Caenorhabditis elegans: one gene and its partner. The protein of the gene in region 1 purifies or fractionates together with the protein of each later gene. This does not show direct contact. Each region holds a gene or a part of one and is shown on either strand. Other genes may lie near its edges. The genes, in order: gop-2 and C18A3.3.

Region 1 (4,239 bases):
AACATTGATTGTTACACAAACTTTAATATTTTTAAATTTGAAAATTTTCTTCAAAGTGCTCAAAAATCCTGTCGAAAATTACAGGAAGATCTGGTGGATGATGTATTGGTTGATACTGAAAATTCAGCAATAAGTGATCCAGAAGTGAGTAGAAAACGTGCATGTATTAATTATTAAAAAAAAAATATAGTTTTCCCCAGTTTTCCTTGACCTAAAACTCAGCAATTTCAGCCTAAAAACGTGGAGTCAGAATCTCGTTCTCGATTTCAATCTGCTGTTGATGAGCTTCCACCTCCGTCGACTTCTGGATGTGATGGTCGACTTTTTGATGCACTTTCATCGATTATCAAAGCAGTTGGAACAGATGACAATCGAATTCGACCAATTACATTGGAACTTGCATGTCTTGTAATTCGGCAAATTTTAATGACTGTTGATGATGAAAAAGTAAGATTACAAATTCAAAATTGAGCAAAATCAGAATCTAAATTTCATAAATTGTTCAGGTACATACCAGTTTAACGAAATTATGCTTCGAAGTTCGTCTAAAACTTTTATCATCAATTGGACAATATGTTAATGGAGAGAATCTGTTTTTGGAGTGGTTTGAGGATGAATATGCAGAATTTGAAGTAAGCCAAGAGGTCCGAAAATAATTTAATTCATCCTTTTTATTCAGGTGAATCACGTGAATTTCGATATAATCGGTCACGAAATGCTTCTTCCTCCAGCTGCAACTCCTCTTTCGAATCTGCTACTTCATAAGCGATTGCCCAGTGGATTTGAAGAACGAATAAGAACTGTAGGAAACTTTTTAAATTTGAAAATTAATTATATATATATTTGCAGCAAATCGTATTCTACCTACATATTCGAAAATTGGAACGAGATTTGACCGGTGAAGGAGACACAGAATTACCTGTGAGAGTGTTGAATTCTGATCAGGAACCAGTTGCCATCGGTGATTGTATTAATTTACGTGAGTTCATCTGCATAGAAAACACCATATTTCTACTCAAATTAACAATTTTCAGATAATTCGGATCTTCTATCCTGCACTGTGGTTCCTCAACAACTATGTTCTCTTGGAAAACCTGGTGATCGTCTTGCTCGATTCCTTGTCACTGATAGACTTCAATTAATTCTTGTCGAACCGGATTCTCGAAAAGCCGGATGGGCAATTGTTCGATTCGTAGGACTTCTTCAAGATACAACAATTAATGGAGATTCTACGGATTCGAAAGTTTTGCATGTTGTGGTGGAAGGGCAACCCTCGAGAATTAAGGTAAGAATACTAACGGGAAAAAAAAATCAAAAAATTACTTCTGTTTCAGAAAAGACATCCGGTTTTAACTGCAAAGTTCATATTCGATGATCACATTCGGTGTATGGCAGCAAAGCAACGGCTCACCAAGGTAACGGAAAAAATAACCAAAAAGACGGAAAGTTATTGTAAATGGACGAAATCGGCGAAATTAATTGAAAACGTTTGAATTTGCCGCTAAAACCAAACGAAAACCAAACGAAAGCGAAATTTAACTATCCCTTCAGGTAGAATATACATTTTATTTCTCTTTATAGGGTCGCCAAACAGCACGTGGTCTGAAACTTCAGGCGATATGTTCAGCTCTTGGAGTTCCACGTATCGATCCAGCGACAATGACGTCATCACCACGAATGAATCCATTCAGAATTGTGAAAGGATGCGCACCGGGAAGTGTACGAAAAACTGTTTCCACATCATCATCGTCAAGCCAAGGACGTCCCGGACATTATTCTGCAAATCTTAGATCAGCATCTAGAAATGCAGGAATGATACCAGATGATCCAACTCAACCGAGTAGTTCTTCGGAAAGAAGATCCTAGGGATCAATATCTCTTCAGTTTCATCATTTTATGCTGTAAATTGTATTTAAGTATTCCTATTCTTTGTAGTACTGTATTTACACATCGTCTAGTTAAAATCACAAATCTCCGAAAAAACAAACCAGTGAACATGTGATATTTCTCTTGCCCATAGTTCTCTTTTTTTTTTGAAACAAAAACAATTACTTTTATGCTCACCTATTCGAGCCATATTTTTTTCCCAATTACCGGTTGTTTATTTTAATTTCTTTTTTTTTTCTGTAAATCTACTTTATTTTTAAAACTGCATTTGAGATTGTGTATATTTTTTCAAAATGGTTCAAATGCCGAATCTATCTACTTTTTAATCATTATTCAAACAGAAAAACCGATTATTTATTCAGATTCTCAAAAATGGCTGAAAAAGCTGAAAATCTTCCATCTTCTTCGGCCGAAGCTTCAGAAGAGCCATCACCTCAAACTGGACCAAATGTGAATCAAAAACCATCGATTTTGGTTCTTGGAATGGCTGGTTCTGGAAAAACGACATTTGTTCAGGTAACTTTCATTCAATTTTGAGAGTTTTCAAACATTACTATTTTCAGCGTCTCACAGCATTCCTACATGCTCGTAAAACACCTCCATATGTGATTAATCTGGATCCGGCAGTTAGCAAAGTACCTTATCCAGTGAATGTTGACATTCGAGATACTGTGAAATACAAGGAAGTTATGAAAGAATTCGGAATGGGACCAAATGGAGCAATTATGACATGTCTTAACCTGATGTGTACTCGTTTTGATAAAGTAATTGAGTTGATTAATAAGAGATCTTCTGATTTCTCAGTTTGTCTTCTTGATACTCCTGGACAAATTGAAGCATTCACTTGGAGTGCTAGTGGATCTATTATCACTGATTCATTGGCAAGTAGCCATCCCACGGTAAGGGATTTTGATTTATGAAATCTGCTTGAAATGAAAAAAGATTCTAATAAATTTTTGACTTTTAAACATTTTTTACAGTTATATTTGGTCTATTTTCTATCATTAAAAGCAAAATGAAAAGTCGATTCTACTCCATATTTATTAATTTCGACTTTTCAGGTGGTAATGTACATTGTGGATTCCGCTCGTGCCACAAATCCAACTACATTCATGTCCAATATGCTCTACGCATGTTCCATTCTCTACCGTACCAAACTTCCATTCATTGTCGTTTTCAACAAAGCTGATATTGTCAAACCAACATTTGCACTCAAATGGATGCAAGATTTCGAAAGATTTGATGAAGCTTTAGAGGATGCCAGAAGCAGTTATATGAATGATTTGAGTCGTTCATTGAGTCTCGTTCTTGATGAATTCTATTGCGGACTGAAAACAGGTTTTTATTCGAAATAAAACCTTTTTTAAATAATAAATTTCAGTTTGCGTCAGTTCTGCAACTGGAGAAGGATTCGAAGATGTAATGACAGCAATCGATGAAAGTGTTGAAGCATACAAAAAAGAATATGTTCCAATGTATGAAAAAGTGTTGGCTGAGAAAAAACTATTGGATGAGGAGGAGAGAAAGAAAAGAGATGAAGAGGTAATTGTAGTAATTTAATTCTGATTATCTTCAAATTTTCAGACTCTGAAAGGAAAAGCTGTTCACGACCTGAACAAAGTCGCCAATCCCGACGAATTTCTGGAGTCGGAGTTGAATTCAAAAATCGATAGAATTCATTTGGGCGGAGTCGATGAAGAGAATGAGGAGGATGCTGAACTCGAAAGATCCTGATTTTCTTTTTGTTTTTGAATTTTTATTCTATTTTGATCCCTGTTTACTTCTTATTGTTCTCATTTTGTTGCGTTGTTTTACATTTTACTCATTTTTGCATAAACTTGTTGCAAAAATCAATATAATTTTTGATCTGGAAATGGTTTTAAACCTTAACCTTTCATATATTAATAATTTTTTTTCAAAAAAACGTTCTAAAAAGGTTCCTCATTTTTTCAATATAGGAAATTTTGAAGATCTTTTCCAAAAATGAGGTTCTTCGCTTGAAAAGCCAACATTTAAAACCTTTTTTTTTCCAGAAACCTAGTGGTTAATGTCTGAAAAGACGTTCCACAAGGCACAGACCATCCGTGCAAAGGCATCCGGAGTGCCTTCAATCGTCGAAGCTGTACAGTTTCATGGAGTTCGCATCACAAAAAACGATGCTTTGGTTAAGGAGGTACTACCCAAATTTCAAAATGTTGCACAATTCAATTGAAAATATAAATTGTGAATTAAATTCAACTTACATGTTTTTTCAGGTTTCCGAATTATACAGAAGTAAAAATCTAGATGAACTTGTTCATAACTCTCATCTGGCGGCTCGTCATCTTCAAGAAGTTGGATTAATGGATAATG
Region 2 (4,196 bases), on another chromosome or scaffold:
CATACCTGCAACAAAAGAGTAAATTAATTGACAATTTTCAACAAGAAATTCGAAACTTTCCAATGTACCCAACTTACAAAGTTCTTGGTTCATCTGAACCGTTTCCGAGATGAAATCCCTCTCTTTCGGCGAGTTTTGAATGCATTCGGGCATTGTAACCAGTATTGACGTCGTCATTGTAACCATGGTTGGAGTTTGCTGGTGGGTTGAAGAAGGACATGGCTTAAATGATAGATCCCTGTAAAAAAGAAAACGAATAAGAAGATAGAAAATAATTTATGTCGTAATATCGTAAAGAGAGATAAACGTTTAATAAATACTTAAAAAAACAAAGAAACATGCAAAAAACCAATAAAAACAGTGCGGGAACGCTGCGTTCACATTCAAAACTATGCTCGCAAGTGTCGTCTAGAGCGTTGCGGTCAGTGCGCTGCGTGTCACCCTGCGGATCTTACTCAAGCGGCAATTCAAAACAGAGTTTTCAGTTTCGAATTTCTGCAAATAATTTTAAGTTTCAGCCCGTTCCTCCGCAAAAATGGTGAGTATTTTAAAGTTTTAAAACATCAAATCAATTTAGAATTCATTCCAATCAAACAATAGGCGTAAAATATGTTTTCATTCATGTATAAACGTTGAAAATCCATTTTTAGGGTTTAGAATAGTAAGAAATATAATTTTGTCGTTGATAGTGAGAAGCTGACCACTCGTTTCATAACGTATCTGTAAAGAACATGCTTAATATTAAGAACTGGACGTCTAGTACTCACGATGAAGTATGAAAAATATAACTATCGCCAAAATTCCTAGCAAAATCAAAAATCCCACTAAGATCAGAGTTGAACAAAAGCATATTGGTCCAGAAATGCCACATATATTTTTTTCTCTATAGTAACGATAATGCTCATGCGGCATATCTCTGTAAAGTACAGATATCATAGAAATTTGATTCTAAAACTTACGTTCCATAGCTCTCAATCGTGGATACTGTAGGTGTTCGATCTTTAGACTTATTCATTTTCATTAAATTTTTCTGAAAAATTGTTTCTTATTGTACAAAAAATCGAAGAAAAATGAGTCACATCGCACATACCATTGCACTCCGACTCTTATCAATTGATAGACTAAAAACCTATTCATGTGTTTGTTCAAAGAGAAAATTCAATCTAAATAATGTTTTCTGGGGGTCTCTTCGTAAATTTTCGGGTCAATATATCTTTATGCTGCTTCCGATAATCGTTTTTCTCTTCAATTATCAGTTCAATTTAAAAAAATGAAGAACATTTGAGATTTTTTCGGGTTTGGACGCAGCATTATGAACGAGAAATCTTTTGTGGAAGAGAAATTTCAATGCGCCGCAGTTCGGCCAAGAATTTATTGGCTGTTTTTTGGGAAGACACATTACCGATATAAAATGTTTCTTGTCAAAGTTTCATGTATTAAAATACTATTTATTTTGTTAATTTTTTAGTGCAAGCTAATTATTTAAAAACTTTCAGCCAGCCGTCTTCTCATTGGTGCTCGATTCGATGTGCAATAATAATTGTTAATAATTTTTTTGTTTTCATGTATTATATTTTTCTTGTTCTTGTGAATGTTTGTAATAATAATTTGTTAATTTTTTACTATTCTTCGATCTTCAAAAGAAAACGTTTTCAGCGTTTTTAATATTTTATAATTGTGTTTTTCTAATTTTTAATGGATTTATTGATTATCGATTTCAGATGGTTCGTAAAATGAATAAGCTCGCCAAGCGGCTCGCCAGCACTTCAAAAAGTCGTCAACCGGAACCAGAAGTGAGGAAAATACTTTGTTTTAAAAAATAATTCAAAATTTCAGAGCGATTCCGACGGATCCGAATTTGACTTCGATAATGCTATCGAGGAAAAACCAATGGAAGCGATGGATATCGAAGAGGTTGAATCAGACGGCGATGACGATGAAAGAGAGGTGAGAATTACTTTTTTAAAAAGTATTTTCAAAAAAAAAAACTGATTGCAGCTCCAAGCCGCATTCGCTGCTGGTCTTCTTAAAGATGGACTCAACATTCAAGTAGCCAAAAAGCGTCCGATCATCAACAAAAGTGCTGAAATGAAAGAAAAATTGGCTGAAATCACAAAAGATCTTCCATGGGTTGAGACTCTTGAAGTGGTAACTCCTCATTCTGAAATGGACAAGAAAGTGGAAAATGACGACTTCCAAAGAGAGTTGAATTTGTAAGTTGCACGAGGGTTGTATAATTTCGAAAATTCTAATTTTTTAAAGCTATAAGCAAGCTGAAAAAGCTGTTCAAATCGCCTATCCACGTCTTCTGAATCTTGGTATCAAAGTTCTGCGACCAACAGATTACTATGCAGAGATGGCAAAGAGTGACACTCATATGCAGAAAGTTCGCAAGAGACTTCTCGGAATTCAAGAAATGAAGGAACGACAAGAAGCATTCCGCCGTATTCGTGAAGAGAAAAAGTTTGCTGTTAAGGTTCAGAAGGTAATGGTTGTTCAAAAAACCAGAAAAATTTCAGCCTAAAAATTAATTAAAATAACGGAAAAATAACTTTAATTTCTAATGGTTCGATTGGACAAACACTCAAAAATGTTTGCAAGTTGAAAGTTGCAGGATAAAATTTTTTTGCAGCAATATCCAACTTTGATACAGTTTTTGAGCACTTCGCAATTGTTTCAAACTGAAATAAAAATCTATTTCCAGATAAAACATTTTTTCTATTTTCCATCACTAAATTTAAATTTAAAATATTGGTAAAACATGCTATTTACTCTGATTCGTTTTGTAGAATTTACAAAAATAAAATCGTTGAACATGAATATCATTTTTTTCAGGAAGTTCTCGCTGCCAAGAATACAGAGAAAAAGAACCTCGCAGAAGCTGTGAAGAAGCACAAAAAGGGAATGAAACAACAATTGGAAGATATGCTGAACAACGTGAAAAGACATGGTCTTGATCAGGATGATGACGCACCGACTGGAGCATTCGGTGACCGTCTAGGAGGAAGAGGTGGTGCCGGAAGAGGTGGAGCTGGAAGAGGAGGATCGATGAGAAACGCAGGAGAACTCAAAAGAAAACTGAAATCGGATAAATTCGGTTATGGAGGAAAGAAGAAGGGAATGAAGAGAAACAACAAGGAGAGGTAAGAAGCTTCATCGGTCTTTCCTGAAATTATTTTATTTTTTTCAGCTTCAATGATCTGTTCGGAGCTCCACGCGGAGGATTCGGTGGACGTGGTCGTGGTGGTGGACGAGGAGGACGCGGTGGACGCGGAAGACGTTAAGCAAACGTTAAGCCTATTTTTATATTTACAATTTATGAACTTTTGTTACATCATTGTTGATTTTTCCTTGTTATGGATTTCGATTTTCAAAATTTTGTTCTTACAGTTATCCCATTTTTATTGTTGATCTTCTGATTTTAGTAATGTCCAATAAAATAATTTGTTGTTGCAAGCATTGAATAACTTCCAAATCGTTTTTTAATCGATCTTGTATTTTTTAAAAAGTCCAACCAAATCAAAATCGCTAAGCAGATTTTTCAGAAAATGCACTAAAAATGGAACAATTTTTGTTTATGACAACATCAGCTTTTGCTGTTTTCATTCTTCTTCTGATCTCAACATCGATACCGTACACTTTTCTAAGGACATGTTGTGTGTCAGTTTAAATTCCAAAATAACAAATGAAAACTAGAAATTTTTTTTTTCAGAAACGCTTCAAAAACATCAATCTCATTCCTGGGATGTGCTTCATGCGGTGTCTTCATTGCCACGTGTTTCCTCGGACTTGTCCCTCATGTCAGACATCAAGAAATGCATTTAAGAGGGAATCAGACGATAGTTGATAGTTATGGATGGATTCCATCGACTGATCAATTAGTTATTATTGGATTCCTGATAATTTTGATAACTGAGCAAATCATTCACGGAATCGGACATTCAATCGGAAATGGCCATTCACATTCAGGACACAGCCCACTGGCAACAAGTGATTCAATTAAAATGAACAAGTTCCACGATGTAAGCTTTTGTTTTTTGAATTTCCCGGGTTTAATATTTAAAAAAAGTTTTCAGGAGGAAGAAGGAGAGGATCACGTTCCACTTGTTGCAATGGATGATGATGCAGATGAAATTATTTTCCGACAGGTACATACCTTAAAAATAAGAAAATCGATCAAAAGTTATATTTGCTTT

The links.
Region 2: the proteins of gop-2 (region 1) and C18A3.3 fractionate together in Caenorhabditis elegans (co-fractionation; one large-scale study listed by BioGRID). This does not show direct contact.

The regions. Positions count from the first base shown.
Region 1 is NC_003281.10:5,256,774-5,261,012, forward strand, and holds gop-2 (GPN-loop GTPase 1), read left to right. Parts: upstream 1-2,249; 5' UTR 2,250-2,259; coding exon 2,260-2,403; intron 2,404-2,450; coding exon 2,451-2,786; intron 2,787-2,948; coding exon 2,949-3,225; intron 3,226-3,268; coding exon 3,269-3,429; intron 3,430-3,471; coding exon 3,472-3,621; 3' UTR 3,622-3,739; downstream 3,740-4,239. Other genes in the region: gop-1 (Protein CLEC16A homolog), read left to right, coding at 85-144, 232-447, 507-632, 680-802, 850-979, 1,035-1,285, 1,335-1,415, 1,582-1,866; SAM50-like protein gop-3, read left to right, coding at 3,935-4,060, 4,143-4,239. UniProt on the Caenorhabditis elegans protein: Small GTPase required for proper nuclear import of RNA polymerase II (RNAPII). May act at an RNAP assembly step prior to nuclear import.
Region 2 is NC_003280.10:5,714,586-5,718,781, forward strand, and holds C18A3.3 (putative rRNA-processing protein EBP2 homolog), read left to right. Parts: upstream 1-1,721; coding exon 1,722-1,793; intron 1,794-1,836; coding exon 1,837-1,947; intron 1,948-1,998; coding exon 1,999-2,213; intron 2,214-2,262; coding exon 2,263-2,485; intron 2,486-2,835; coding exon 2,836-3,143; intron 3,144-3,190; coding exon 3,191-3,284; 3' UTR 3,285-3,453; downstream 3,454-4,196. Other genes in the region: Cytotoxic granule-associated RNA binding protein tiar-1, read right to left, coding at 1-5, 78-220; lelo-4 (Late ELOngation arrest), read left to right, coding at 339-538, 1,497-1,665; C18A3.10 (uncharacterized protein), read right to left, coding at 710-720, 768-916, 960-1,015; zipt-3 (Zinc/iron permease), read left to right, coding at 3,560-3,660, 3,713-4,022, 4,077-4,148. UniProt on the Caenorhabditis elegans protein: Required for the processing of the 27S pre-rRNA.